Caenorhabditis elegans: one gene and its partners. The protein of the gene in region 2 interacts with the protein of the main gene of each other region in a pairwise test. Each region holds a gene or a part of one and is shown on either strand. Other genes may lie near its edges.

Region 1 (9,905 bases), 2.9 Mb from region 2:
GAACAAAATACTGGAACTTTGGCATGGAAGAATTTTTCATCTTTGTATTCTTTACTTGAAGACATCTTTTACGTAGCATCTCATTTAGCGATAGTTTTCTGTCATCTTTCACTTCATTTTCCTTTACAGTAGTTGCTTTCATAGAATCCACTTCCTTTCGAATAGCTCCAACTTCTTCCAGCAATTTTTTCTGATTCTTTTGAATTTTGTGGAGCTCGTCGAGAATTGAAGTGTTAATCTCGTCCTGAGCATCTTGTCGCTTTGAAATCTTCTCGCAACATTTTTGAACTTCAATCAATCGATATTCTAATGGCGAAGTCTGTAAAAAATGAAGAATTTAAATTTAAATCAATCCGAATATAACTAGCCGTGAGTGAAGAATGACTTTTTGAAGATTCCTGGCGAAGTTTTTGAAATTCAGACATCAAATCTTGCTTTTCAGTCATTTTTGCGGAGGATCGCTGAAAGAACTTTCAGTTATTGAGAATTGCAAAAAAAAAACGGAAAAAAATGTTTTTTACTACGGTAGATTCCCGAATGTGCAGTGTGTACGTTACAGTCACTATATTTGACGCGCAATTCTTGGAGTACGGTGGATTTTTTGCTTTGAAATTGAAAGTTTTTTCCTGATATTTTCGGATAAACTTGCTTTTTTTCCGACAAAAATTCAAATTCCAAGCTTCTAGTAGTTCAAATTTCTCTGTAATGTCGAAGAGTGATCATTCATTAAAACATTGGAATATACATTTAAAAATCGAGGGAAAAAATCAATGAAATTGCAAAGATCTTCGGAAAAGCTCGACTATTGCAGTATGATGAATGGTGAGAACGTCCGGTGGAAGCATGAGACGAAGAGCCGTCGATGTTTTGATGTTTTCAACGCAATTCTTCTGAAAATATCGATTTTTCATTGAAAATCCCATAGAAATTACTAACATTAAGCTTCTTCAAATGGAATTTATTAGATAACTCGAACAATTTTCTTATTGATTTGCTCGATTTATCGATTAAAAAGTTCTCGCAAGCCGTAATAATTCTCTCCGTCTCGAAAAATTTACCGAGAAGCAGGATTCCTTCGACGAAATTATCTGAAAATTGGGGGAAAATTATAGATTTTTTGCGATTTTTCTGCAAATCACACCATGAATAGTAGAAAATCCGTACAAAATTTCCAGATATTTCTGAAAATCATCTGTATCCACATCGGGAAGTTGAATTTCTGAATCCAATGTACATTCTTTGAGGAGATTTTTAAAATATGGAGAATGCAGAGCGAGGTGCTGAAAAAAAACAATTTTTTTTCGATTAATTGGAGTAAATCGATACCTGTTTCAGAACATAAAACCTCTGTCCTCTCACAATAAGCACTGTATCAGCGAACCGTCTAGTGACGTCACTACCGAAATCCACACGCTTCTGGAAATCATGATAGCCGGTCATATCGATAATTTCCACGTGTCCTTCGATGGAAAGGTATTTTGAATAATCCAAATTGCTCCATTTGAAAGATTCGCAACGATTGGAAGTTGACGGTCTGAAAATTTGGAAAATCAGCTATTTTTATAGATTTTCCGCAAAAAAAAACTACATTTCAGCATCGCTTTTGCTTCCAGAAAACTTGAAATTCTCTGAAATTACTCCATGATCCGATTCGACACGAACATTGAAGTTTCCATGAAAATTAGTGGATCCCGTTCCACTTTTTCCCAAATCTACGTAGAGAAATTGATCATCACGAGTTACGCGCAGCCACCTGGAAATAAATTCGTTAAAAATCGATTTTTAGGGGAAATTCCAACCATTTAATACCGAAATGATCCTCCTCTTCACTAGTATAATGCTCTGTTTTCTTCATGAGCCAGGTTTTTTTTAAATTGAATCGCAGGACGAATTCCTTTTTTGAATTGCTCATTTTGTGACGGAGATCTGAAAAATAATGGTTTTTAGCTAAAAATTCAATTTTTCCGATTAAAAATCGCAGAACTTTTTTTGGTTCTTATGAGGAAAAGCCTGGAAAACTGATATTAACTTTAAAAATAACGCAGAAAAATATATCTCATCGAATTAAACAATAGTATTTTAATATAAATATTTCTACAATTTTTAACAACAAAGAGTATTAATTTTCACTCAAGAATTAACAAAATAACAAGGTTAAGATTAACAATTTTTCTTTTCGACTTTAAAAAACTCTTTGCAGATTGTCAAAAGGAATTCATCGCCGTGGAACTCCTTAATATCAGAAGTACGAAGATAACCAAAATCGTAGACTGGGACGAAAACTCTCGCAACTTCCGGTTGAATTGATTGATGAGCCCAAATTACGCCGCTTTTGAAGTGAGGAATATTCATGATGATCTGAAATAACATATAGATAATTTTCAGATAATCGATTTTGCCTGCTTCCACTGTTCCATCTCGAATAAGTCAGTTAATCGATAATTTCGTGTGAATGGCGTGTTCGCGAGATGCAAGTACCACGAAATATCGATTTCCTCAAGAACACCTGGTTTGAAGCGGGACAGGAGGAAAATGAAATCGCTGAGCTCGAATCCGGATAGCTTGAGCATTTTTGTGTGAATCGGGTTGCTTGCTTCGAACCACTTCACAATATTTCCTTGTTCCATGGTAGCGTAGATCACGAGCTTGTCCAGCTGAAGTCTAGGATTCTTCAGCACCACAGCAAGCTCATCCAAAAGTCCATTCAAAGAAGTAAACTCAGATTTTTCCGAACGCTTTGTGCCTTTAATTATGCCTCCAGAAACCGTCATACTGTAGAAAGAAGACTGACTATTCGCCCAAAGCAAGCACATATCATCAGTGACGCGAACCTCGACGGTCTTGAAGCCTGGATCGGTGGAATCGATGGCATCGCGCAGTTTACGGCACACTTTGCGGACGGAAAGTCTGAAATTACTATTGATTCTATAAAAATCCATAGTATTTGATTGTACCGATTGAATGGATCCAGATTTTCCACAATTTTGCCGAGCACTTCCATTGACATATCCGACAGAGTTGGAGGTTCTGAGCTGAAATTACAAGAATTTAGGTATAATATTGATTTTTTTAAATGGATATTTACATACAAGAATGTTTCCGGCGCCGTTTCCATCGACAAATCGGATAGCGAAGAATCGTCGGAACTATTGATCGGATCCAGATTGTCAGGAATCAGCGTTGGCGCGGAGGAGCTGAAATTAAGACAAATTTTAGTTTAAAAACTGTTTGGAAAATTTTTCACCGGTGAGCGGTGAAAAAAACGAACATTTTAATCGAATCCAACACGTTCGCCAATTTATCCGCCATTTTCCGAGCGATTTGGTTGAAATTTGTAGTTTTCTGAAAAATAAGTGAATTAAAGTGTACAATTTCATTGAAAAATTCTTTGAAATTCGCGAAAAATGAAAAAGAACTCAAAAAACAACAAATTATCGGAAAACTTGCTCACACTAATCGTCAAATTAAATGCCAGGTACGCAGTTGTGTATTGCGTACTTCACCGTCTACCGTAGTCAGATTAAATAGTTTTTTTTTGATATTCAACTAAAAAACCGTTTAATAAAACGAGATAAAAGCCAACAAAAAAATTAAGAAGCACTAGAATTTATTAAATGGCACATCTGAAGCGAGTAAAATGGATTTTGTTTGATAAAATACATATTATTTCATTAAAGTGAGTGATTTTGTGAAAAGAGCCGCCAACGTAGAGTGATCGATGCTGGAAATGTCCGATGGGATCATAGAACGAAGATCGAAGGGAGATTTGATCATTGAAATGCAGAATTGTTTCAAATTCTCCAAATTAAACTTTATCGCCATTTGTAGCTTCTTCTTGTAGGTTTTTCCGGTGGTTTGAATGAGAAAATCCTCGCAAAGCTCGGAGACAAGCGGCGTTTGGTACATATCAGCCAGCAAAAGGATTCCTTCAACAGTATTATCTGAAAAAAACTATTATTTCAGTGAAAAATCAATAGTTTTTACCATTAATAACCGGAAATCCGTACAAAACTTCGAGAAATTTCTGAAAATCGTCTACATCAATGTCGTAGAGAGGCACTTCGGTAAGTTTCGCCTCGTAGAAACCGCCGAGGAACAGGGATTCGAAGAAAGTTGAATGAAAGGCGAGGAACTGGAAATTATTTTGATTTTAACGTTAAAATATTCAATTTTTGAACTTTTTTCAGCAAATAAAATCGCTGTCCATCCACCAAAACCACAATATCCGAGTATTCTTTCTTTTTCTCATCGAAATTCATTAATTTCGGCGTATAAAATCCAATTGATTTATTAATAATTACACGGGCTTCTACAGTGATACTTCCAGCATCCATAAAGCTTGTTTCCAGCTCATTCCAGCTAATAAACTCGCTCCAGCCGTACGAGGAGTAGAATTTTCCAGAATCGTGTCCAAAACACATGTCTGTCTTGCATTTTTGATCCCTGGTGTCAGAGTAGACTGAAATAAGCTTCAGCTCAAGCTCCGTGAACATTGACCACATTTCCTGGCCTTTAAGTTTCCTACATCGGAGATAAATGCCGAGATTTCCGTTGTTTCGCTGAATTTGGAAGATCCTGAAAACATATTTTCACAATAAATTAATTTTTTCTTGAATTTAATTACCACGGAACATTGAAATATTCCTCCACTGTGCTGATTCTCATATCATTTTCATTCATATTTGATACATCGTTAAATACATAACGGATCACGAACTCCTTGCCAGTGACTGAGCTTCGGCTCATTTTCAGTCTGAAATTGGTATTTAAATGGTGCGAAACAGAGCATTTTTGTTTTACAATATGATTTTGTTAAGTTTTAACAATTAATTAAATAGAAAACTATTGAAAACAAAGGAAAACGAAGCGAAATGGAAATTCAAAAAATAGATTTTCGAAAACTTGTTTCACTGACTACGGTAGATTTTCGTTTCTGCATAGTGTTTGCGTCCTACACACTGGATTTCACGCGCATTTCTCGCACTGCGGTAGTTGATTTTTAAAATTAAAATTACACTTTTTTATGTGAAAAACAACGTAAAATGTTCGTGTAAAAGCTCTATTCGTCCCAATAAGCCCAACCAAAATTTTACTGGCCGTTTTCACTTTCATAAAGTACTTCAACACAACAACTTTATTCAACAAATCAACAAAAGAAAACAAAATAACAACAACAAAATTAGAAAAATCCAAATCAGTCAGAATCTGAGTTGTATTGATATTCATATTCGTCGTCAGAAGAATAGTCGCAATCTTCATCTGAATCGATGTCAGTCCAGATCGGCCAATCTTCCTCAAAATCGATATCTTGAAGATTCGACGGAATAACTCGACACGAGACTCCCCATTCGAATTCGAAATCGTCCCTGCAACACTTCTTGACAAGAATTTGCTTGGCAAGGTTGTCGGTGCGAAGTCTCAATCCTTGATGGTCTTGGAAATTTCTGTAAAATAGAAAATAATATATAAACTGTTGCACTAATGGAAGACTCACACAACACGGTCTTTGAAACAACTATTGACCAACGACATTACGTGGTCAGGTTCGTACGATCCTTGTCGGAAACGAGTTCCAATTGCAGAATCACCCGAGATGAGCCGCTGAAAGTGATTTTGATTTTTATTAATTTTTCCATCAAGAACCAATTAACGATACCTCAATTTGAAAGTTCATAAGCAATTCACGTGAGCCGTACATGCCGCCAACTGTTGAGATTGTCACCTGCTTGCAGTTCACAATCTGAAACATTTTACAGGTGAAATTTCGTTGGAAACTGGAACGACCTACAATTGGATTTTCGACAAGCTCCTTCATATCAGTCGTTTCGTTGTTGTAGTGAATAATCTCGACAGATTCGAGCCCATTGCACTTGTTCAGAACATAAAGCATTTCGCTTGTGTTATTCGAATCGAGCTTCAAGAACTTGACATTCAAAGATTTTTGGTTCCTATAACGGGGCGAGCACTTCGTTGATTCCTTTGTCTGAGTCTGTTTGGATGTAGAGCTTCTGCATGGTTCCGACATTGACAGCATAGAGAAGACGTGGAATAACATGGCTTTTGACAACAGATTCGGTGTCGCACACATCCAATTGAGCATTCTCCTTGTCAAGAAATGTAGCTACAAGACTTTTCGAATATCCTAAGATTTCGAAATATACTTGATAAAAGTGAAGCTTCTCAGAGCCCACGAGATTTTTTTCTTCACTGGCAGTGTAGCGGAGGTTGAATCTGAAAATTATTAAAAGAATAGAAATTTACAAGATTTTCAATTAGGAAAGTGACTTACCTCGTCTCGAAATCCATTTTTTGAATGCATTGAAGTTTGAATTCCGGCGGCAAATCACACCAATTCGTTTCGTACTCCGGTTCGCCCATTTTACTGGAAAATCAATAATTTATAATTAATTGGTGTTTTTAGAATAACAATAAAAGCAAAAAAAATAACGTTTTCGCACAATTTTCAACCAGGATTCTGAAGAAAAAGGTGAAAAATAGTCAATGTACCGTACTCTACGAAACTTCTAGAAGTGCGCGTGAGATGTGATACATTGTGTGCGAACACTTTGCGGACATTGCGTTCTACCGTAGTCTTCTCAATTTCGGATTTGGAAAACTCTAATGGTGCGTCCATAGTCTGCGGAAAACGGGAATTTCCCGCGTGCGGAAGCGTCCATAGTCTGCGGAAAAACCGGAGTTCCTCGCTTTTTTTTCCTCAAAATTCAAAAAAGTAGGCGTGGCAAACCAATCAGCTGTTGTTTCTTGTTTTCCCATTGCTCAGTTTAAAATTTTACAGCCTCTAATTGGTTGAACACGCTCACTATTTTGAAATTGACCAATAACAAAGCGAGAAACTCCTTGTTTTTTCCGCAGACGCTTCCGCACGCGGGAAATTCCCGTTTTCCGCAGACTATGGACGCACCATAAATCGATTTTTGAAGGTACAAAAGAGCTGAAGTGAAACAGTATTTCGAAGAAAAATTAACGAGATAACAAATGATGCTTTAATGGAAAACAATAATTCAAAACAATAACAAGATTAATTAATCAGGTAACCATAGCCATTCTTCTTAAGAAAATAGTGAATGATAGCTGTTCGAGTCATACCAGTCATCCCATTCATCATAATTTCTGATCGGCTCTCTATCCGCATCGGGGTCGTTATCATTCCAGCCTGGCCACACGGCAACAAATCCAGTTTCGTGAAGATCCGAAGGAATGACTTGACACAAAATTCCCCACGCCTTTGAATATCGATCGCATTTTGTGAGAAGAATGTGTTTGGCAGGATTATTAGTTTGAAGTCTCAATTCGTCGTTTTTCTTGAAATGGCTGTAAAAAATCAGTCATTTTAATGTTCGGCATCAGGGAACACTCACACAACACGATCTTTGAAATTTGTGCTCATCATATCCATACATTGATCGGCATCCCATTTTTTGAATCGATAATTTATTCCAATTGTTGCATTATTCGAAATCAAACTCTGAAAGTAATATTTGTTGGCCTTGTTCGCAAATTGTTGAAACAAACCTCAATCTGATAGTTCACGAGTAAATCCATATTTTCTGGGTTGACGGGATAGTACCATTTAGAGAAAGCCACATTTTTGTAGTTGGAGACCTAAATGATAATAATTATTATTTGCAAATACAATGGAAATCGCTTGTCGAACTAACAATTAATGCTTCGACAAGCTCTTTCATATCATTCATATCATATTCATTTCTTTCATATCATATCGTTGTCCCTTTGGTCAGTTTCAATAGTATTCAGTTGTTTCTTGTCACATTTTTCCAAAAAGAATAGAATATCGTTGTTGCTCTCCAAGCCGAGATGAAGGTTTTTGACATTCAATGAAATCGATCCCGTAAATGGAGAAAGTGTTTCGTTTAGAAGCCGTTCGGTGGTATTCCAGATGTGAAGTTGTTGAATTTTTCCAACTTTTAAAGCGAAGAGAAGACGTGGGAGCAGTTTACGTTCACTGCACCACCCGTCAACGTGTAGATCAGCTTCTAGCTTTCCAGTAAACGTTACTTCGAAATAAATGAAATTCCAATTGATTTTCATCAATTCAAATGAGATCTTCTGGGAGTCCACGAGGCGCATCTCTTCGCTGGAAGTGTATCGCAGGTTAAATCTGAATATAATTTTTAATAAGTTATTTGGTGAAATTTAGATAACCTCGTTTCGAAATCCATTTTTTGAATGCATTGAAGTTTGAAATCCGACGGCAACTCGGGCCAAAGTTCGAACTTATCCAGTTCGGTCATTTTCCTGAAGAAAAAATAGATTATAAACGTATTTTTAAGGAATAAATGTCAGGTTTTAAAACGTTTCGCAATAAAAATTCGGCCAAAAAACGATAGCTTTAATCGGAAAATGAAAAAAAAAACCAGTTAAAAAATTTTATAAATAAAAATACCGTAGTGCGAGAATTGCGCGTGGAGTGAAGTGTGAAGGACGCAAACACTTTGCAGAAACAAAAATCTACCGTAGTCAGTGAAACAAGTTTTCGAAAATCTATTTTTTGAATTTGAATTTCGCTTCATTTTCCGCGTTTTTTTTCAATGTTTTTCATCTAATTTTAATTTGAAATTTAACAAAATTTTAAACTTAATTTCAGGCTGAAAATGAGCCGAAGCCAAGTCACCGGCAAAGAATTTGTGCTCCGTTGTGTATTTAACGATGTATCAAATATGAATGACAATGATATGAGATTCGGCACAGTGGAGGAATATTTCAATGTTCCGTGGTAATTAAAATCAAGAAAAATGAATTTATTGTGAAAATATGTTTTCAGGATCTTCCAAATTCAGCGAAACAACGGAAATCTCGGCATTTATCTCCGATGTACGAATCTCAAGGACCAGGAAATGTGGTCGATCTTCTCGGAGCTTGAGCTGAAGCTTGTTTCAGTTTATTCCGACACCAGGGATCAAAAATGCAAGATAGACATGTGTTTTGGACACGATTCTGGAAAATTCTACTCCTCGTACGGCTGGAGCGAGTTTATTAGCTGGAATGAGCTGGAAACAAGCTTTATGGAAGCCGGAAGTATCACTGTAGAAGCCCGCGTGCTTATTAATAAATCAATTGGATTTTATACACCGAAATTAATGGATTTCGACGAGAAAATGATGGAATACTCGGATATTGTGGTTTTGGTGAATGGACAACGATTTTATTTGCTGAAAAAGGTTTAAAAATTGAATATTTTAACGTTAAAATCAAAATAATTTCCAGTTCCTCGCCTTTCATTCAACTTTCTTCGAATCCCTGTTCCTCGGCGGTTTCTACGAGGCGAAACTCGCCGAAGTGCCCCTCTACGACATTGATGTAGACGATTTTCAGAAGTTTCTCGAAGTTTTGTACGGATTCCCGGTTATTAATGGTAAAAACCATTGATTTTTCACTAATGGGGTTATTCAAGTAATGTCGGAAAATTAAAAAGTGTATTTAAATACATATTTTGCCTTATGGGGTTATTCAAGTAATGTAGCAAAATGTATTTAAATACATTTGTGACGTCACAAATGTATTAAAATACATGTTTTTATGTATTTTAATACAGTTGTGACGTAATTTTTCTACACTTTTTAATTTTTCTACACTTTTTAATTTTCCGACACTACTTGAATAACCCCATTATTCAAGTAACAATAAAAACATGTATTTAAATACATTTGTGACGTAATTTTTCGACATTTTTCGACATTTTCCTACACTTTTTTACAGTAGTAAAAAATCGCGAAAAGCGCTCGAAATGGACAATCGCGGCGGGACCCATTCGATGAACAGTCGGTGTCCCTTTAACAATCGATATTGCGGAGGCCTTTTTCAGGGATTTTTTCGATTTTTTCATATATTTCGTTTGTTTCTCTTTAAAATCAGTTATAAAAAAT
Region 2 (11,458 bases):
GGGTACTGTCCGTCCGATTGTCTTTGCCATGTCCCTCTGTCGTCTTTTACTCTTCGCGGCTTGGCTCCCCGTCGTACTGTCGTTTACGATTGTTCGAGGGGAAGTGCCTCTTCAGTAGCCACGTCGCTTACGTCGCCTGAATCTTTCCGGTGCCTCTAAGCATGTTTCCAGTTATTTTTATGTTGTTATGTATTCAATGGGCATGCTGCCTCCAAAACACTTCTTACTTCTTCTCCTTCACTGCTGATATGCTGCTTTTACAGCTTCTAATGCTTCGCTTTTTGCTCCTTGGCTTCTTTAATTTTTCAGAGTTTTATTTAACAAAATTAAACATTTTCCAGTTTCTTGTCATTAATTTTTTGAGTGACGTGAAAGAGGGTCTCAAAACGGAAGAGCAATATTGAAATGGGATCTTCTCTTCCGTTTTAAGTCCTACTCAATATTCAATTTGAAAAATTGATCCTTTTCCAAAATTAATCCATTTCCTTCCAGAATTTCGAGTCGAAACGAATTGAAAGAGAAATCACGGGAAGCTACACTGGTCCTCGTTATTATTGTTTTCATCTTTCTCGGTTGCAATTTTTGGGGATTTGTGTTGACTCTTCTGGAAAGAATTATGGGACAGGAGACATTGATGGTTGAACATCATATATTCTACACGTTCTCTCGAGAAGCTATCAATTTCCTAGCAATCATCAATTCCTCAATCAACTTTGTAATTTATCTACTTTTTGGAAAAGATTTCAGGTAAGCGGTGAAAATTAAATTCTATTTCTGCAATTATAACAACGCAATTCTAAGATTCCTAATAACCACAAATAACCATAACCATAATAACCATGATAACCATAAAACCAATTAGGCTTTTGAGTTATTATTTATTTAATTTTAACTAAAATCTCAAATGTTGCCAACTTTCCCGTATCACAGCAAAATTCTTAAAATCGTGAAATCTATAGAAAGTAAACGTTTTTTAAAGATTTTACAGTTGATACATGATTTCACTTAACCTTTTTTCTCATTTTCAGAAAAGAACTAGTTGTGGTATACGGATGTGGAATCCGAGGAATCTCGCTGAGGCTTCCTGTTCAAGATAAATTTGTCATTTGGAGGCATTGGAAGCGAACAAAGTCTCGAATATCGATGAATACAACGAATCGAACTCGGCACAAAATATCTCTTCCACAGACACTTGTTGAGCATGCGAATTTGGAAAGACTCGAAGAAACTCGTTTCTTAGCTCATCATGAAGATGGTGTACAGACGCAAGTGTCGCCAATTCATGCTCTCAGAAATGGTATGGTTTTTTAAATTATTTTTATAAGAAACCAACATTTGAGAATTTTTTGATATCAAAAAATAACGCGGTTCAATATGAATAGCAAAACTTTACTTGGTTCAGAAGTTGGACAGACTAGGGCAAGGCTTTGTTTATGTCGCGCCCATGTTTAGATTATGTGTGCTCCAACTTGCCAATGACTTACCAAAGCTTAAAACGCCACAAAAAACTTGGCTGAAAGATCGGCAAGAGTTAAATCAAACTTCTGCAAAATTGTAACACGGCCCAAACCAAGTCTTGATAAAGTTTAACCCTACTTTTTAACTAATAGTAAGTTACAATTTTTGGTCGAGTCTTGGGAAAAAGAAACAATCTCAATTGAAACGAGAATGCTCTTTTTTACTAGAATTTAGTTCTTACTAGATATCCAAAGCTAGGTATACAAATGTCTAGTAGGAATTCTGATGTCAGAAGTTATTTTTGAAATATGAACGCTCTAGAATGCAAATCAGGGGAATGAGTGGTAACTAAATTTGGTCAAAATGTTATGGACATCCGGAAGTTTTATTTGGCAATTCATTCATATTTTCTAAATGTTATTTTTCTATAAAGTATCAATGTCTAAAGTGAAGAATTTATGTGTCTAGCCAAACAAACTTAAAATTCAGCTATAATATATCATTACCTGAAAAGCTATAATAGAGAAGGATCATCTTCGGCCTAGCCTTCTATAACTAAAACAAATCTTCATTTCTTTCCAGGATCGACTCCAAAAATTGATACACTACAAGACTTGACATCGAATGGAAGACCGTGTAAAACAAGCATAATCGATGATAATGGAACTGTTGTGTGTACAGTTACAGAGTTCCCATAATTTTTTTAAATGAAAGAATATGTATTAATTTGAAACTATGTGCCTGTATTGTTAACTCTTATGTTTGCTAAATTCTTCATACGGTTGTGATTCAATAAACTTGTGAATTTCTTATTCATGTTTCGTTACGAAATTTTACATTTATTAAACGAAAATCTTACAAATAGACGACAAAGTGAGTAATGATTAAAAAACACATCTGTAACATTTGGAACGTGTATTTCCAAAATGACGGAAATTTTAGGGGAAACCGCGTTGTAATGCTTTTTCTATAAAAATTTATTTATCTTTATTTAACGCTCAAAAAATGAAAATTCTTGTCAATATCTTGATTTTAATCAGAATAACGTCTGGAATGTTATATGACGGGAAGTATTTCGACATGAAAGACCGAATTCGTAAGTACATTTTCTATTTGTCATATCTCAAAATTGAACTTTCAGGTGCTGAATGTATTATCAAAAAAGCAATGTCTGATTATAAATATCTCGGAAATAACGACAAATCAGTCAATGGAGAACCATGTGTTCCATGGATTGAGGTCACAGAATCATGGCTCCCCACTGCGAGTGATTCTCAGAAAATGAAAAAACAAGCTTCGGAGAGCTTCCATCATTCAAAATGCAGAAATATTAAATTATCAGTTGTTAACCCAATGTACTCTGTTTCCACGCCATCTGCAATTGAAACTGGCATTCCTTCCGGTATCCATGGTCCATGGTGCTTCATAGACAAGGTTGGAACTAATGGTACAGAAAGTTTCAAGTACACTCCCGTCACTTGCTTCAATTATTGCGATGAGACAAAAGTGGCAACGGACAATGAAAAAATGAGATTGACAGGTACGGTTTGCCTGAATATTGTAATTCCGAGAAAGTTTGAAGCGCCTTATCAAAGGCACACGTTACTTTTCTGAATGGGTCTTGCCACGATCCCAGTTATGTTTATCAGACGCAAAAATTGCACCCAAAATACGATACCCGGTCTCGACACGATTTTTTTTGTAGAGTTCATTCGGGCGTGCGTCTCTAAAGAGTACTGTAATTTCAAACTTCCATTCCTACGGAAATTTCATCAATCGTCCATAGTTTTTCGTTCAAAAGAGTTATTTATCAAAAAAAACAATGAAAAATCGTTAAAAATTTAACAGAAACGAGATTTCGAAATTACAGTACTACTCTTCAAAGGCGCACGCCTTTTGGCATTTAACAAAAGTTTCGTGTCAAGACCAGGTAACGTACCTTTTGCACAAAAATCTAAATCGGTTAAAAAATCGTAGATCAATTTTTAGAAAATGGATATGCAATACTGAAACAAAACTATAATCCGGCACTCTTAGATCCAATCGAGAAACTTTTCACGGAGTATCAGTTTGGAAACATGAAGTATTATACATTTGTGAGTTGCTAAAATATCTTCTAAAAATATTGTTTTTTTCAGAAAAAGTCTCGTGAGCAGCCTCCTCAATATTTAGAACTTCGTCAGAAAGTTTTCATAGCCTTATGCCTCGTCTTTTGTGTAGTCATCGCCTGGATACTTTCGTGCTACTTCCTCAAGAAACATTCCCAAAAACTCCATCAAAAGAAGCAGAAGGCGTTGGAAGGATTCTATGAAAGCAACAACTTGGCAGATATAAAATTGCAAGCAGATTTGAGAAGAGAACGAGAAGAAGCATGAAACTGTATTCGATTTGAATTGATAATAAACAAATGAAAACAATCACATAATTGTGCGAATAACATGCATAAAAATGACAACATGAAAACTAGGAAAGTGCAGTACAAATAATAACATGACATACAGTATAATTGGTTAAAACAAGTGCAATAAAACGATAAATGTGGGAATAAAACAATGCAAATAGATTGGATGAGAAAACAAACATTATTCTTTCGGCTGTTCGTCACTGAAGTTTTGATTGTCCATCAGCTTCTCATCTTCCTCATTCTCATACTTCTTGTGTGATCTTTCGAACTCGCCAGTGTTGTAAACAGAAGTTGATGGCTGGAATGTTTAATGAATTTTGAACTGTAAATAATAATTATTACAAGTTACCGCAGAGGCAGAACGAGACCTCGACGTTTCGTCATTAAAATTGATTGGAGGAACTTTCGTGATAGGAGATGGGACAAATGATGTCAAGAAGGCTGACGGATCGGTGAGACGAACCCCAGAGTCTGGATGTATGTAGGTGAAATGATGGCCTGGCGTTTGCTCAGTGCAGACCACTTCGGATGCTCCGCTAGGGGTGAAATGCTCGTCAGTAGCATTCTGATAGACTTGGCTAGAATCCATTGGGAATGAAGGGAAATAACTATTCAGAGCATAGAATGGTGTTGGACTGTTGAACTGATTGTTGTTGATTAGGAAATGCGGATCCGAGAAGAACATTGGTGGATGAGCGTTGATTGGATTCTTGAAGTTTGAGCTGTCCATCGAACTGAATGATTTCATAAGCGGAGACACAGGTGGTCGAAGTGTGCTTGGAGTAGACAATGTCCTCATCACATCTTGCATTGACGCTACTGGTTTGAATCTTGATTCATCCTCAAAGACTTCATCGTCAATTTGACCATTTATTCCTTGCTGACGTTCACCTTCAGAATTGACGGACCTGAAACATTTAATAATGTTTTTAAGAACTTGCATACAAGATCTCACTTTGCGAATCCATCTGTACTATCTTCGTATGTCTTCAAACCAATCCATTGCAATGACTCACTATTTCTTTCAGATCTGCTAATACCAATTCTACACGTCGATGGGCCCTCAGCATTCGCTTCCATGCTGTGTTTCAATTCGTCATAAGTAAAATGGCGAGACCTCTCAGTGAGAGAATCAGAGTGGGTCCTCGTATTTTGATATATTGTCTTCGGCAATTTCGGTCTCGGACGCTCTTCAGTTTCAGACATATCAAATTCTCTGTAAAAAATTTAATTTGAAATTAGTAGGATATTTTTTTTGAAACCTTTTCAGAGAAGCAAATGATCTGCATTTCTTTTCGACCTGTCGTCTTTTCATCCTAATTGCATCTTGCTCTATTTTTCTTTCGTGATAACTAGCTACAGCATTAGCTTGTTTGCGTGGTGAATTTTGTTTCAGGATCTCTGGTACTCTGGAAGAAAGTATATAAATTGTAACATATGCAATTTATCATTGTATTGAACGTTAGGCAACTTACACATATGGTCTGGGATCTCTGTAGATAAGTGTGTCGTCACTCCGTTTAATAAATCCAGCAGGAAGTGGAGGTTGTGCCGAATTGGCAAAGGCTATCCAAAAATCATTTTGTGATTTTGCTAACCCAGCATCAACTGCTTTCTTGGAGTACGGGCAATTGGCGAAAAGCGGCAAGTCGTCCATCGTCATAGGAGGCGGAATTTTTCTCATAGATATGAGTGTTTTAATAATGACATCTTGAAGTTCAATAACTTCTTGTGGATTGAGCTCCTTGCTGATGTAAAATAATGTTCCTTGTTGATCCTCTTCTACATGTTTTTTGATTCTCACACGTTTATTAGCAACAATATCTCGACGAAGTTGATCTGCAAACTCTGAGAAGACAATCGCACGATCCTGGTTCGCCTTTCTCATTCGGTCGGTGACCGATAAAGACTTGACCGACTGATCCTTATTCCGATTATCAATTTTTGGTATATAGACGCGTTGAACAACAAACTCTTTGCTATCTGAAATATGAAAATAATGTAATTATGTTCTCAAGTGTTATTCGTTACCATCATCAGAAAACTCTCCAGGTGAAGTTTTTCGAACTTTATGTGGTGGATGATAAATCATAGTACGAGTTGTAGCATCGCCAGAATTATCGACATCTGACATACAATTCCCGAATACTTTTCTAATGGATCGAAATGTTTGGCATCCTTTGCGGTTGCAGCGGTATGCTGGGTATTCGCGTGCTTGTCCACGATAACGAGTTCTCCTCAAACACAAGTTCATCATTTCATTGCAGAGGTGACACTCGATAGCTACTGGAATCTAAAAATAAAATTTGCAAAAAAAGTTATGAGCTCTAGATCGCACTCTATATTTAATTCCTCGCACTTCCACTTCGCAATTATCGATTCCATCATCTAATACTTCGCAAGCATCATCGTCTTCAATAATTGCACGGAATACTGAATCTTTATCTTCCAGCCCGCCCTCATATATAACGTCATCAGCTTGTTTCGATAGGGACTCGTTCGCATGATCCTAAAAACAAAAATTATGCATTTTTCTCTTCATTCAATCACAAACCGATAGTTGAACTCCGGAGTTTGCAGATTCTTCCCGATTTTGAGAATCACATCCACACATGGCAGGCAATCTTTCTGGGAGTGAGCTATCTGAAAGTAAATAAAATTTATCCATAAATTTTAAATAAAACTAAAGATACCATTTATTGAAGGATTATTGGCGCTCATTGAAGTCTTCACGGTTTTATCTTCCGAAGCACTCGAGTTAACGAGACTTTCGGAGGGAGAATTGTCCTTGTTCATAGTTTTCAATTCATGAAATTTAACTTAAACAAAATAGAAAAAATGGGATAGCACAAGATTGATCAAGCAAATTTGTTGATGACAAATGAAAAATTTTTAAAAGTAGCGCGCGCACAATGCTGTTTGGAATCACCCAACGAGACCTTAACAGAAATTTGGTGAATGTTCCTTTAAATTTGCCAATGTTACGGTATACCGTATCAATTAAAGTTTATTTTTTTTGAGTTTTTAATTGAAAGCTTATAAAAGCACGATATCAGTTCTGACGAATAAGTGAATGAAATGAAAATACCGTGAAATATTCAATAGTTCTCCTGCCCAAATACATGTTAGACATTGAGGAAGGCTGTATCAAAATCGAACGCAAGTTAATTAAACTATAACGTTCATAACTTTTGAATTTCATGAGTTGTAATTACATGAAATGAGCAAACGCTCTGAGTTTAATATTGTAGTTTCCAGAAATTAATTACAGTTGGAAGTCTAATACAGTTTTTATTTTGGTAACTTTTATTTGCCAAATTTACAGAACAATTCTTTATATTTATACAATGTTTGAGAATCCACCGAGGAAAGTGAGAGTAACGAAGTAGAATATAGGGAAAATCGAAAAAGAATAAGTTAGGAGATGATGACCAGACGATTGTTACCACAATGACATCCCATTCATATCCTCGCCGTTGAAAATGCGGAAGTAAAAAATGATGACGCTAAAGTTGATTGAATTGGCGATGAAGATTAGGAAGCACGCGGACATCGCTATCTGAAAAAAATTAACATGTTGTACAAGGTTTAGCGATAATTGAAATAAATAGACGAACCACAATTACTTGACAAGAAATTAATAGTGAAGTGAATGATTTAGAACAGAGACTGGCTCCAGCTTCCACTGTCGTCATCACGATGCAAGTAGAAATATGCAATAATTGTACCGAACATAATCACAGATCCTGTATTGACGAGGAAGCATGCACTGTTTGCTATCTGAATTGGACATTTATTCATGCGTTACATAAACTTATTCACATCATTCCACATTTACCCAAAATTTGATCTTAAATTATACTTACCGTTCCTGCATGTGCCAGCACTATCGGAAGAGCAAAGGCGGAGATGACAATTCCAGTGGTGATGAAGAGAGCTAATTCAATGCATGCATTTGTTCCAGTCATATCTTCTTGGAAGCGTCTGGCGATGAGAAGTGGTACCGGCGAAAGAACGTAGAATGTGATAACAAACATTGGGGTCCATGTTCTAAAAAATGAATATTAGCATTTTCAAGACGTTTAAAACTAACCCGTACCTAGGCAGGGCACATCCAAGAACGAGGAAAGTGAGGCCAACAACTCCGGCGAACGCCAGTGCAGCAACAGCTAAAATTGTATTTTTCATAGAGCAGCAATCGAAACACTGTATATGAATATGACAGCACATTATGAATCTTTCAGGGAATAAAAATTATCAGAAGAATGTTCAATTCAAATAAGCGTGGATTTAAGAAAATATAAAACTTTAATTTCACGTTAAAAACATAAATACCTCGTACTCCTCCCATTATGAACTCGTGTCTTGAAAACTTATTTGATGAATAAATCCAGGTTCCCTGAAACAAGTTATATGACCGAAAAGATAATTATTACACAAAAACAAAGAGAAAAATCGATGCAAGCAACTGAAGACAGAAATGGGGAAAGCGCGAGATGTGTGCATTCTGACGTCGCTGTGTTTGCAGACTTTCGACCGTACCCCTTTTCAATTTACGAAATCTAGTTTTCTCTTTAATTTCCATTATTCCGTGTTGCGATCTTGTTTTCAGTTATATTTCACTGATTAATTAACATTTTGCAGTAAAACATGAATCCGATTACGAATATCAAAAATCAGAACCGTATGAACGAGCGGGAGCTCAGTTTGGGTTACGCTGGAGATCTCAAAAAATCGTGGCATCAAACTTACAAAGATTCTGCCTGGATTTACATTGGTGGTTTGTCATACGCACTTTCAGAAGGGGATGTTATTGCCGTTTTCTCTCAGTGAGTTTTGCAAAAAATTGTTTCTCAATTTATAAAGTTCTTTTCAGATATGGCGAAGTTATGAATATCAATTTAATTCGAGATAAGGACACAGGAAAGTCGAAAGGATTTGCTTTTTTGTGTTACAAAGATCAAAGAAGTACGATTTTGGCAGTGGACAACTTCAATGGAATCAGCGTAAGTTTTTAATTCATTTAAAAAAAATGCAAAGATGCTGATAGAACATTAATATAAAGCCTTTTTCAAATTTTTCAAATAAAATCGATCGTTTAAACGACAACAAAAATAGTATTTTGTTTTCAGTTACACAAACGAATGATTCGTGTAGATCATGTGGAAGAATATAAAGTCCCGAAATACAAAGAAGATGCCGATGATGAAACGAAACGATTATGGGAAGAAGGATGTGCTCCAAAACCAGTAATGAGAGAAGCAGCACCTATGGAAGTTCAAGAACAGAGAATCAAGAAAGCCAAAGAAGTATTATTAGATATTGGAGATGTTGATGAAGAGTTGCTGAAAAAAATCAAAAAAGATAAGAAGAAAGCAAAAAAGGAGAAGAAGCGGGAAAAGAAGAGAGCAAAGAAAATTCGAAAATTGGAGAAGAAAGCTGCAAGAGATCCAGATGGGGATTGGAATAATAAAGCCAAACTTATCGATAAAGTTGTGGCTGAAGATGATTTGTATGGTGAGAACAAGCACTTTGATTTTGGAAAGAAGAAAGAAGTTGAAGAAGTTAAACATAATCCAAGACCAGATTTTGAGAAAGCTGATTGGAGAGATATTGAAATCTGGAAAGTCATCCGAGAACGAGAGAAGGCAGAGAAAGCAGCAAGAGGAGAAACATCAGAAGCGTGGGGTCCAGAGGATCATTATGTGTCAAAAAGATATCAAGGAAGATGAATATTTGTTTTTTCTCACTTTAATAAATTTTTATTTGTTTTTTTAAATCGTCAACTGCCATGGCATTGCAATTAGAACCAACTTTTGTGGAAAATTAGTTTTGTCGAAAATACACACACCCTTGCAAAAAAACTCACAGTCTAGTTGGAAAGTACAGTATACCCATTACAATCCAAACTATCTTATTATTTCAATCACACTTCCCCATGTCTTCCGAAGCTCTCAAAAAGTACAAAATCTCAGTATAAAGTGATATTCTAGTCGTAAAATGGTACTCGTGATCGAAACTCTGAAGCTTCTGTATCCGAGAGTATTTCGAATTTTACTTCCTTATGCACACACCACGTTTCAATTAAATTGCTCAAAAACGTCTCCGAACACCACCAATAAATGCAACAAATTTTGTTGTGATGGGAACATCGAAATCCACAAGGAACATTGAATCTGCCAACAACCATGGAAACGAATTAACTAATTTTTTTTTAATTTTCAAAACAGAAACTTGAAATTTTTGAATACATCAACTACAGTACGCCGTAGTAACATACTCGAGTACGGTAGCTATGAGATTTCGGTCGCTTCAAGACCGGGTTCCGAATTATTCGAATTTCCAAAAAATCGCAGAGACTAGCAACTTGAATATAAATCTTTATTAATTCAAAAGTAGTCAAATTACATGAAAATACGAGTTAAAACAAATTTATTTCAAAGACATTAGTGCTCAGACTCCCTTGACAACTGGCATGTGATGGAAACGACTTGGATGCGAATGCATTTTGTGCCAACACGGCTCACAGTAGTACTGGAAGCACTCAAGAGATGGACAGAAGTATGGAGCATGTTGACGATGATAACGACCCGAACATTCCTCGCAAGATTGGTTGTGAAAGAAGTATGGCTTGATCTCCACCTGAACTTAATTTAAATGAGATTCTCAACAATATTAATGAATATTCAATACCCTCTTGTGAATATCCTCATGATCCAGAACAATATAACGATCAGTGATTGCTTGAACGTACGCATCGTAGTCAGAGAAAGCAACACGTCCGGATCCACGTGGATATTTAAATTTATTGTCGATATCAATGCCAACACACACAACATGCCCATAAGTTTGCTCGAAGAAATGAGCCAACTCGACTGCTTTCAACGGTCTCGGAACACCACCAATAAATGCCACAAGTTTTGTGTTGATGGGAACATTGAAATCCATAAGGAACTCAGCATCTGCCAACAACCATGGACGAATCTGCACACGAATTGAATCAGTCGAACTTTCCAAAGTGATGAAAAGTCCTTCTTCTTCTTCGAAACAATCCAAAACCAAATCACGAACACTTCGTTCTTTCTCGAAAAGGAGAAACACGTATCCAAGGTGATGCTGTCTCTTATCTCCATTGATACTTCCATCACTTTTTGTACTTCCAAATCCAAGATTTCCTCTAGCAACTTGAGCCATACCAGGATTCAAGAATCCTCCGATACTTCCACTTGAAATCCTACCGAATCCACCCGTTTGAGAAGATTCCGATTGAGCTGGCATATTTCTCATGAATGGATTAATCTCTCCGAATGGTGGAGATACCATTGCAAGATGAGACGACGGTTGGTAAGAAGAAGAACTGATTGGTTCATTACACAATGAAGGATCCGAATCAGACTTGCATTCGTAATGTTTTGATGGCCAATCAACTTGCAGGCGTCCGTATCGAGAGAAGAAGTTGAGAATATCACCTGGAAATTAATAAAAAATAAAATATTTACAGAATAAGTTTGAACTTACTCTCTTTGACACAAGAAGGCAATCCACCAACAAAAACTTTCCGACTGTATACTTCGGGTCCAACATTGTGATGATAGT
Region 3 (10,788 bases), 2.2 Mb from region 2:
TCGAGAGAAACCTACACTTCAAAAGTTTGAAATTATGATTTCTTGGTCGACAGTAACTTTTTTATGCCTACCTATTGCCTGCCTACTGCCAATTCGTGTACTTTGGCAGCAGGTAGGCATGTAGGCACAAAGAAGGCCTTGGGGAAAGTTCCTGCAAACCTGAACATAACTTTTATCAAAACTTTCCTGTACAAACCACCCAAGTTTGGCCAATTGCGGCCGTCAACTTCAAACTTTTTTTCCTTTCAGTGAATGTGTGTTTTTTGACCGTACAATGACCACTTTCACCGAAGTGTAATCAGTATGTTTTCCAAATTGAAACTGGTTTGAATGCAATTGGTACTGTCTTGTTGCTGCCCTATCTCCCACACTGAATCCCTGATTTCTCTTTTCAATTGTTCAATGGATTTTACAAAGTACTCTTTAAATTATGTCGTGTGATGAGATAAGTTGACAAATCTTGACCTTATTAATTATAAAATTTTGTTGTTTTTTTTAATTTTAAGTTGAAATGTTTTGTGTGGAATGTCCATAATTTTATCCTGATTTTGAAAACAAATTGTCAATTTGTTCTGGCAATTTATAGTTTAAAATGCGGTAAATCTCAAATTGACACTTTAATTTATATTTGCGCTTTCATCGTTTGTTTGTTTGTTTATTCGAAATTTGATAAAATAGCAACAAAATGTAATACATAGAAGATCATAGGCTTAAGCTGTCTAACTCAGTCTGCTCCAGGCCTGCCACAGGCCTGCCTCAAGCATGCCTACCTAGATAATGTTTACCACTTTACATTCACTTGTTTACGTGAACTTTGACCGTAGGTACCTGAAAAGCAACGAGGCAGATGTAGGTCGCCTTATTAGATACAGGCAAGCCTAGGACCAAGGGTGCGCGGCAATTGCCGAACGGCAATTCTACAAAATGAGACGGTTGGGCATGTTTCCCCGATCTTTTTTATTAAAATTTGATGATACAATATAGAAAAATATTTTCTCTATCTGAAAATGACTTTTATTTGACTTGAAACAACCGAGAAAGTGTTCAAAAATTGTCCGAAAGCTGAAAATTGCCGTCAATTTTTCGGAAATTTTTATCGGCAATTTTCAACTTTCGGACAATTTTTGAACACTTTCTCGGTTGTTTTAAGTCAAATAAAAATCATTTTCAGATAGAGAAAATATTTTTCTATATTGTATCATCAAATTTTAATGAAAAAGATCGGGGAAACATGCCCAACCGTCTCATTTTGTAGAATTGCCGTTCGGCAATTGCCGCGCACCCCTGCCTAGGACGCCTTAGAAACAGGCAGGTGAGGTCACCTCGAAGTCAACCAGGCGTCGATGTAGGTAACCTCTAAGGCAAAAGGGCACTTGTAGGTCGTCTAGAATACAAACGTAGGTAGGTCTGAAGGCAGGTAGGCGTAGGCCTGCCAAAACTGTCTGTATTTTTTTAAAGTAACTGTGTTCTGAAAATTCTTCAAAAAATGAGTATGAGAATGCCTAAAAGACTTAGAAAATTTCAAAAATATTTTAAATTCCAAAAAAGAAAATTTCAGAAAGTTCCCAATATTTTTCTTTTCCGAATCCTCGCTTTAAAATGGGCGATAAAAATCTCCAAAACGTTTTTTTTTCTTTCAAAAAGTTCAATTTCTCGCAATTTCCCGCCTCCCATATATCTTGTCACCTTTGGCACCGAAGCGAGCCGCTTCTCTCTCAAAAGTCAATTGATATATTTAATAGAGTGCAGCGGTAAAATCTTTACACATTTCGTACGAGAGCACTTGGCACTGGGACATTGTAAATTGAACAGGAAAATAGAAATAAAACTATTATAGATTCGCAACAAATAGTCCAATTGACCATCAAATTTTAATACAATAACCACCGAATTGTCTTCCAGCTGACTGAGCACCTGTACGGAAACGATTTGATTCTTTTGAGAACGAGGAAAAGGGAGTGTGAACTTGTACATTTGCATGTCGTACTACTACATTTCCTTTCACTCTCTAAATCTCTCGTCTCTTCTACTATAAATCCCTTGAGGGTTATGCAGAAAGACCAATCCCCCCTCTCACTCGAAACCTCTCTTTTACACAATCGGCGTGGGCTGTTTACTTTTCATTAGTATCAACAACAGTGTTTCAGTTTTCGGTTCTTTTGAACTTTTATTTTGATTTGGAGAATATTTAGTGCAAGCACGTGGTGTCAGGTTGCCCCATTACAATTTGATCTACGAAAAATGCGGGTAATTTTTTCCCAAAAAATGTGACGTCAGCACGTTTATATCCATGTAAAATCAGTTGAAAAGACAGCGTCTAAATTCCCGCAATTCTTGTAGATCAAACCGAGATGGGACATCCTGACGCCACGTGGGCAAGCTTATTAAGCTAAATTTGCTTTTTGAAAATTTTTAGAATTTTTCGTTTTTTTAAGAAAAAAATTTGACATTTCTTTAGACATTTGTCTAAAGAAATTATGATACAATTTTTAGTTAAAAAACCCGATTAATTTCCAAAAAAAATTCCAGAAAAGTATAATCCCTCTAGAAATCGATAAAGTAGTCAAATATCTGAAATTGTCTTCTTTCGGAGCTAGCTTGAATATTTTTGTCAAAACCTCAAAACTTTTCAGAAAAATTTACACAATATTTTCGTACCTATAGAATTTCCAGGAACACCTAGCAGAATTTTTTAAAGTTATTTTGATCAACTAATAATTCAAAAAAAAGTTCAAAAACCGGAAAGTGTTCGAAATCATTCAAGAATGTGTGTTGTGTATCTGTGATTGTGCAAATAGTCTTTTGTTACGCTCGTTTGAAAGTTCAAATATTTGATTCTGTGTGGGAGGTCACGGGAGCACAACACCTTTTAAAATAGTAGCTAGAAAACTAGTTTTAAAACTTCTAAACTTTAAAAAAATCTGAAAAGTTCTAGTTTTGACCTTTTTCAAATACCAACCAATTTCACTTTGTCATGGCTTTTCCGTATGTGTCACCCTTCCCCTCGGAACAATATTACTCTCGACTAGCAAGCTGTTCATCAATCAAATTTCATGAGTTATGAGCGTAGATGCCATTCTGCGCTTTGTAAATACGTAAAATTCAAGGGTTAGCTTTTTATGCGATTTATACTTTTTTGAAAGTTTTGAAAGTCTGAAAATTTAGCAAAAATTCAAAAAGAAGGATATGCTTAAAGCCCTAAGAATTTTTCGTTTTAACCTTGAGGATTGGTCGAAATTTAATGAAGGTCGAAGAGAAGTCTGAAATTTTGGAATTAGATACTTAGATACTGGAGACGAGCCTAAGCATAGTCCTGAGCCTAAGAATAAGCCTAAGCCTGAGCCTTTAGACTTTCTTGTGAAGCCTGAATCTAACTAGTAACCCTCCTAATAAGCATGAACTCTGAGGTAGAAGTGGTGCTCTTGAAGCATAAAAAAACAAAAAAACTCAAGTGCAATATTGCAATATCCATTTCGTAGTCCTCTCGAATGTCACTCACCCATCAACATTGTGCTCGCGGTCAGTAAATGCAAATTGCAATCCTTGCCTCCCGTATGTTTTTCACACATTTTCCTTATCCATCTGCGTCTCCTCGTCTCCCGATTCTCGCGCATTGACCACCACTGACCATGGTCTCGCAGGAGAAAAGGCGCTTCCTGTCGTGTGTTCTGCTCATTGTGCAGCACTTTTGAAGATTTTGCAAAATGCATATTTACTAGGAGAAGCTTTGTATAAAAATTTCACTTACCATTTAACCTCACTTCAGAAAAAGAAATGTAATTGACCCCCATTTTTCAAGGTTTCTTTGTTGTTAGAGTCTATTGTACTAACTTTTTTTATTCTTTTAAGTACTTCACACATTTCTTTGGCAAATTGGAAAAATGTTGAAAAGGGGGTCTGTATTAAGTGCTGGTCTGGAAGTAGCCATTACATAGCTGAAGCAAAGTAGCCGAGACGGCTAGGTCGACAGACTAGTTCTGTTCTTTCTGAATAAGCTTTTAAGAAATATTTTTATAGTTTGCTTCTAATTGTAATGGCGCTCGGCAGGCACTAGGCATGCACTAGGCAGACACTAGGCAGGCAGAAGGTAGGTTCTAGGCAGACATTAGGCTGGCACTAGGAAAGCACTCTGTAGGTCGTAGATAGGAAGTGCCAAATAGGCACTAGGCAGGTGCTAGGCAGACACTAGGCAGGCACTAGGTAGGCATTAGGTAGGCCCTAGGCAGACACAATGTAGGCAACCCCTCCTCGGCTTATCATTCCCAAAAGCTCTTGAAAAGGAAGATGTTTTTTTCATCATGAAAATTTTTTCCGCGATTTTTTGGGGAAGTGTGTATGTGGTGCGCAGTATAAACATTCGCCCCAATCATCATCAATATTATTGTGCTCTTTTTCCCACTTGCTCTCTCGGGGGGCTCCACTCACACATTCAAATGTTGAATCAAGCGATTAACCCATCGAGAGTTGTTGCATGCATCTCCTCTGTTTTCTTTTCCTCTTTTTCTCGCTTTTTTTGAAAAAAAAACTCTATTTTTAGATTAATAAAACATAATCAAATAAATATATGAAATTTACAGTGTCTGGGGGTAATCTGAGCCAAAATCTAATGTCCAATGCACCATCAACGACGACATCAGAAGCCCAGAAGATCGCGACAACGACGACGACGACGAAAATGCGATTGCCCAGTGTTAAGGAACTTGCCAAGAGGTAAGACAGCATTTTTTATAGGATTTTGTAGAGTGTAGAGATATTTTAAGGTTACTGTAGAAGTGGTACTATAAGGTTTTTGGGGTACAGTACTGCAGGGTAGTAGGGTATAGTAGGGACACTGTGGGGGTACTGTAGGAGTACGGTAGGAATACTGTAGGGTACTGTAGGAGTGATATAGAGGTATTGTAGAAATACTGTAGGGTGGACTACTTCAGGGGTACTGTAGGTACTGTAGGAGTACTGTAGGGGCAGTGGGAGGCTTTCACAGATGTAGTGCCGGTAAGGGCACTGTAGAGGAACTGTAGGAGTACTGCAGAAGTGTTGTAGGAACCTGTTCGACTATTTTAGGAGTACTGCATAGGTACTGAAGGGACAAAATGAGGCTTTTACTGTAATAACATCTGTAGTACCAGTTTAGGGTACTGTAGAGGAACAAATTGGAGTACTGTATAGGTATTGTAGGAGGATAACTGTATGGGTACTGTATGAGTACTCTAGGATAACTGTAGGGGTACTGTAGGAGTACTGTAGCTTTTTCCCACTTTGTACGTGTCATCGTTGCTTATTTTCAGCCAAACTTTTACCAAACATTTATTTTTGAAAAACTGTCCCCGCCTGCTTGTTGACACATAGATTCTATCCATTTTTTCAAAAAATATTTATTTAAGTTTAATTTTGGCAGCTCATATCTAAGTTGTCATAGTTTTTTATCAAAAAGTTCTTAACTGAGAAAATCTTGGTTTTAAATTTTCCAATAGTTTTGCAATTGACCAATTTTGGATATTTTTGAATTTCACCGGAATATACATAAGCTGCCAAAGTGTAGAACACAAAATTTTCATACCAATAGAATAACCAGCTAGAAAATTAACTTTTCTCTTGTCCTATGCTTCTTCGTTTAAAAAAAAAGTTTTTTGTTTATATGTCTGCAATTCAATTTCTGTATGATTGTCAAACAAATACTACTTTTCCTCCTCCTTCACACACTCACTCCAACACAGTTGTTCTCCAGCCAACAATAGCAGCACATTACCCTTCGGTTGATTGACATAATATATTGAAACCGGACAGGAAGAAAAACGGTTGAAGAAGTAAAGAGAGACCGAGGGCGTCGTCATTTCTTCCAGAAGCTTCTTCGTGGGAAAATTGTTGGAGTTTTAGAGATGGTTCGGAGAAGTTTGGCAACTTTTTATGAAGTTTTACTCTAATATCAGCTCAACTTTGAAAGCTTAAAAAAGCATTAAAAATGTTCAGAATCTTTTGGAAACTTTCTCCAACTTTCACCCAAACTTCAACTTTAGGATGTATATTATTTGGAATTTACCATCTCCTAGCTTTAGCGCCTGCCTGCCTAGGAACCTACCTACCGCATCCCTCTCTTCATTAGTACATCTCTGAAGAATTTCCAAAATGTGTATGTCTCCCCGCTCCCCCTGCCTTATCACCATCATTTTATTATTATTGTTATCAAATATTCCCACCACGCCTCATCACTGACCACTCCTTTTTACGATATGGTCATTTGGAGAGATTGTTAAACAATTTTTGAGTTTGCCGAAACGTTTCGTTTTTTGTAGTATTATAGAATGTAAAATTTAAAAAAAATTGCGCCAACCAATCAGCGACGTTAGCCACGCCTATTAGAATACGCTGATTAGTCGGCGACTTGTTGAATTTGCAATTTTAAAATTGATCTTCCAAAAGCTATTTCCGATTTCCAGATTCGAAACCAGCACAAGCCGAATTGAGCACCACAAACCGGTGATCTCCAAACGAATCGGCAAGTTCCGGGTAGTGGAAAACCTTCACGAGTAAGTAATTTTCCTCTTCAGTTTTGCTCTTAATTTGCTTGTTTTTCAGGCCGTGCACATCACGAGTGCTACGTGGAAGCGCCATACCGCGACGGAAAAGTTCGTTGAAACGACGAACGCGGAGCAACTCGGAGCTCGCCGTCCTGGTCACATCTTCTGAATTTCGGAAGAGCAAATCCACTGGCGACTTTTCACCGACGGGTGCCGGAGCATCGGGTGCTCCAATTGTGATAACACCGCTACCTGCACCTAGATTACGGTAGGTGAAATGAGGGGTACTGTAGGAGTACTGTATGACAACTTGAGGGGTATTGTGGATTACTGTAGAAGAACTGTGGGGGTACAGTAGGGCTACTGTAGGGTATTGTGGGATACTGTAGATTAATGTAAGATTACATCGTGGGTACTATAGGAATACTGTAGGTATTCTGTAGGGGTACTGTAGTAGTACTGTAGGGGTACAGTAAGGTTACTGTAGGGTATTGTGGAATGCTGTAGGAGTGATGTGGGGTACTGTAGGGGTAATTTTAAAAAATAATGTTTTTAATCAAAGTTTTAAAGTTGTTCTGAAAATTTTCAGTCTAAAACTTTATTTTAAATAATTTAGTTTGAAATACTATACAAAAATTGAACTTTTGGCAATTTTGAAGCTTTATAAATTTTACAACAATAATCTTTTACAACAATATCTTCAAATAAAATTTCAAAAAATTCAAATTTAAAAATTTCAATTCAATTTCTCTTCAAAACATTTCAGTTTCCAAAACCTTCCGGCTTTCAAAATCTTGATTAAAGTTTTGAAAAGTTACTTTTTTTACTTCAATAGAATACAATTTTATAAAAATACAAAACAGACAAATTTTTAAATAGTTCTTTATAAATAAAGCAAAATTTCAATGAAACCACTTCGAAAAACCATTAAAAATTTCAAACAAAAAACTAATTTCTAAAAAAAACTTTTTTTTTCAATTCCACCCACAGTGACTCATTTTTCGAATGTTTCAAGGTTCTCTATGATTCACGAATCAGAAATGTAAATAAGAATCCCTTTCTATTTCAGTCTTCAAACAACAAGCATGATTGTTGAAAGTTCCCCTTCTCCATCTTTCCATTCCAAAAAAGATGGTCACCCAGTGTACGAGGAGCGGTGTCGAGTGTCCTTAACAATTCCAATTTCTTCGTCAGAAGATCTTTCCGCTGTATCTCCACCACCACCTCTACCATCTGTACCTCCGTCTAAGGAGAGGATCAAGAGGATTCCTTCCTACCTGAAGCCTACTCCCGCGCCGAGGTCTATGTCTGCCACGCTGCCCAGGGCTCGTCTGAAGACCCCACCACCTCCACCCCCAGTTACCAATCAATTTGACACCCTGCCGGTCAGTTTCCGGAGCAGCTCAACATCCTCCAGCACAGGAGGTCTCCCGAGAATCCCGAATATCCCCGTCCCAGATGTCCCTTTTATTCCACTGGATGACGACAACTGTTACGATGAAATTATGCTGGTCACGCCATCATCAAACACATGTATACCTACACATCAACGTCTAGAATCCGAGTACACCTATGAATCTCAGTCTACCGACTTTTCAAGGCCGGAGCCTCCTAGAGCCTCCGGGTCAGAGCCCAATTCAAGCAGACGGGCTTATCCTCGGGATGAGGAAATCTTTGATGAAGCTGAAGAGGAGCTTCTGGAAGAACAAAGATTTCAAAAAGTGCCGGAAATCAAAGAGCGCTTCCTTTCCTCAACTCTCCAAAGGAATCCAAAATCCTCGAAAAGGATGAGCTCAATGGAGCTGGAAAAGCTGTTCAGGTTCAAGAGCGAGTTGCAGCTTAATTTGTCGAAAAAGGTTGGTGCTTTGTTTTTTTTGTTCCTTTTTGGGTATTCAGAAAACAAAACAAGAAAGACAAATCAAACTAATTCTGATTGAAGGTTAGCCAATTACGGCAGAAAGTCGGCGACAAACAAGCGAAGAGACGATCAAAGTGCCACGTCAGTGTTGATCTACTGGACACTGATTTTAGTTCTATGGTGAGTTTTTTGAGAAAAAATATCCAGAAACTAAAAAAATTTATTTAAAAAAATTTGAAGTAAGTTTTTTGAAAATAATTTCTGAAATTTCTAGGCAGTTTTTTAGAATTATTAAAAAGGTTTACTCTAAATTTTTTGAAGCAAATTTTTGTTTATTGCATTTTTAGTCAATATTAAAATTTTTTTAATAATTTCCAGGAATTTGATTTTTCATTAAAGTCTATTTTTTTCTGAAATTTCAAGTCAGTTATTTCAAAATTCTATAATTTTTAATTGAAATTTTTATAGATATTCTGTAATTTTCAATCAAATTATAATATAAAAATTTTTGGAATTTTTTGTCAAAACTTTAAAGTTTTCATGACACCTCTGATTAAATTTTTTACCTGGAACTTGAAATTTCTGGTCAAATTTTTTACATGTTTTCTAAAATTCCCAGTTAACATTTTAGTAATTTTTTTAAATAGAAATAGTAGAAAACTCCTTAGATTTTCTGAATTTTCTGGTCATAATTTTTTTGGAGTCTATGAACTTTAAGCCAATTTAAAAACGGTTTTTGAGTTTTTCTGTCAAAGTTTTAAAGATTTTTTTGAGTTTTTCAGGAAACATTTTTAAATGATTTTCTGAATTTTTTGTTGGATTTTTCGGTTGACGAATGAATTTCCAAAGTAAAAGTATCCAAAAAATTAAATTGAAATTTATGTAATTTGTTTAGGCAAATTCCGGAATTATTTCCATTTCCCTTTTTTCACATTTATTTGTTGTAATTTTTGAATTTTCCAGATGTCAAAATCGTCTTGCGTTGACAAGCCGTTCCAGGATGACGATCACATTTATGGGGATGATTGGAGCAGTGATGATGATGATATTTATCACGGTAAGCTTTTGCTAGTTTACAAATTCTTTTTTCCCCTTTTCCCTTCACTGGTTACCTCCTACCATGTCCAATTGTTGAAAAATCATGTCAACGTAGGAATTATGATCTTAGTTCCGGTGGTTTTGATTTCATCCTACTATTCACAAATGCTTACACTAAATCTATTGTCAGGGAGGTGTCGTAAGCCTACTGTAATACTAGGAATTTGCTTTTTTTGTAATTTTTTTTTTCGGAAAAAAGCCATGCAGAAATTCACAAAATACTCGTATTTCCAAGATGGAAATTGAAAACCTAATAATGGAATTATTCTCGAAAAATGTTCAAATTTTCTGTGCACGTTTTTTTTGTTTTTTAAATGATTTTTTAAAATTAAAATTGGCATAGATAAAATCTTTTGAATTTTTCAATGTCCTCAAAAATCCCGAGCTCTTCTAAAGCATTGGCTAAATTTTGTTAATTAACAACTTTTTTGCAAGCTCATGGTTGGAAAGTTTCGAGCAGCCGACACTTCACTGGTTTATATTTCATAATTAAATTTCTCATAGTGAGTAGGCGTCAATGCCTGCCTGCCGATTTTCTGTTAAACTCTGGTGTTTGGTACATGCTAGCAGGCACAAACTGCCTAACTTTGAATTTTACAAATTCCAATTAAAATTGGTACTCAAGAATGCCTTTTGTTCAACATTTGTTCAAACTTTTCAAATTAATTTTTCTCGAAACAATTGCAACAAATTAGCCAAAAAAAATAGTCCTTAAACTGTGCTAGATGATTTGAAAAATTGGAAAAAATCCTTTCAAATTTTAAAAATTTCTAAAAAACTATATCTACATATTTTTTAACTGCCTCGAAAAAGTTTTTCAACTATATGCCAAACCCAGATTTCCAGCTATTTCTTGCCCTTCCATCCCCTCTGAATCCGACTAGTAGTACAATCGGAAAACGAATAGTCACACACATACACCCAGAGACACACAACTTTTTTAATAATATCCTTCTCCTCCTCTCACCTTTTTTTTCACTTACCAAAACAATTCCTTCGCTTCTTCCGTTCCTCTGACGAATTGCTCATCGTCGTCTTCTTCACACTCTGTATACATTACGGCAAATATTGCAAAGACAGTCAGAGAGAGAGAGAGACTGAGAAAAACAAAAAAAAAGAACTGCACTTTTCTCGTTTTTTTCCTTGCTTTTCGAAAAAGGAGAGAGAGAGAGAGAGAGAGAGAAATGAAATTGTTTTCCCATATTACATATTTACAGATGACCGTCGCTCTTCTATGTACCGACAATTAGAAGAACAGCTGAACAAGGCGTTTCCGGACTACGTTTGTCGATCCCGTGAGTTACTGAATTTTCAGCT

Evidence for each region.
Region 1: the proteins of szy-4 (region 2) and bath-30 interact in a two-hybrid assay, tested with the Caenorhabditis elegans proteins (one large-scale study listed by BioGRID).
Region 3: the proteins of szy-4 (region 2) and ephx-1 interact in a two-hybrid assay, tested with the Caenorhabditis elegans proteins (one large-scale study listed by BioGRID).

Annotation. Positions count from the first base shown.
Region 1 is NC_003280.10:3,341,626-3,351,530, forward strand, and holds bath-30 (BTB domain-containing protein), read right to left. Parts: upstream 4,754-9,905; 5' UTR 4,747-4,753; coding exon 4,625-4,746; intron 4,576-4,624; coding exon 4,179-4,575; intron 4,133-4,178; coding exon 3,985-4,132; intron 3,942-3,984; coding exon 3,664-3,941; 3' UTR 3,593-3,663; downstream 1-3,592. Other genes in the region: F14D2.11 (Ubiquitin-like domain-containing protein), read right to left, coding at 1-319, 369-446; F14D2.15 (BTB domain-containing protein), read right to left, coding at 768-890, 937-1,088, 1,142-1,280, 1,327-1,534, 1,589-1,753, 1,800-1,912; bath-28 (F-box domain-containing protein), read right to left, coding at 2,161-2,358, 2,400-2,907, 2,955-3,032, 3,090-3,194, 3,269-3,309; F14D2.14 (FBA_2 domain-containing protein), read right to left, coding at 5,195-5,444, 5,495-5,601, 5,657-5,740, 5,789-5,890; F14D2.8 (F-box domain-containing protein), read right to left, coding at 5,949-6,231, 6,290-6,382, 7,108-7,332, 7,380-7,486, 7,534-7,623, 7,680-7,715; bath-29 (BTB domain-containing protein), read left to right, coding at 8,634-8,755, 8,804-9,200, 9,247-9,394.
Region 2 is NC_003280.10:6,193,990-6,205,447, reverse strand, and holds szy-4 (Suppressor of ZYg-1), read right to left. Parts: upstream 6,753-11,458; 5' UTR 6,659-6,752; coding exon 6,556-6,658; intron 6,506-6,555; coding exon 6,417-6,505; intron 6,372-6,416; coding exon 6,201-6,371; intron 6,156-6,200; coding exon 5,894-6,155; intron 5,846-5,893; coding exon 5,338-5,845; intron 5,272-5,337; coding exon 5,125-5,271; intron 5,079-5,124; coding exon 4,818-5,078; intron 4,771-4,817; coding exon 4,212-4,770; intron 4,161-4,211; coding exon 4,041-4,160; 3' UTR 3,834-4,040; downstream 1-3,833. Other genes in the region: G-protein coupled receptor daf-37, read left to right, coding at 1-2, 493-747, 1,029-1,297, 2,041-2,156; C30B5.17 (Kringle domain-containing protein), read left to right, coding at 2,464-2,554, 2,600-2,998, 3,448-3,554, 3,597-3,833; C30B5.2 (Vacuolar protein sorting-associated protein 55 homolog), read right to left, coding at 7,520-7,642, 7,729-7,912, 7,956-8,031, 8,198-8,213; rbmx-2 (RRM domain-containing protein), read left to right, coding at 8,513-8,691, 8,739-8,868, 8,995-9,594; cpb-2 (Cytoplasmic polyadenylation element-binding protein 2), read right to left, coding at 10,316-10,504, 10,556-11,331, 11,381-11,458.
Region 3 is NC_003280.10:4,000,308-4,011,095, forward strand, and holds the start of ephx-1 (SH2 domain-containing protein), read left to right. Parts: upstream 1-4,606; coding exon 4,607-4,710; intron 4,711-6,434; coding exon 6,435-6,524; intron 6,525-6,573; coding exon 6,574-6,783; intron 6,784-7,584; coding exon 7,585-8,371; intron 8,372-8,454; coding exon 8,455-8,553; intron 8,554-9,336; coding exon 9,337-9,430; intron 9,431-10,688; coding exon 10,689-10,766; intron 10,767-10,788.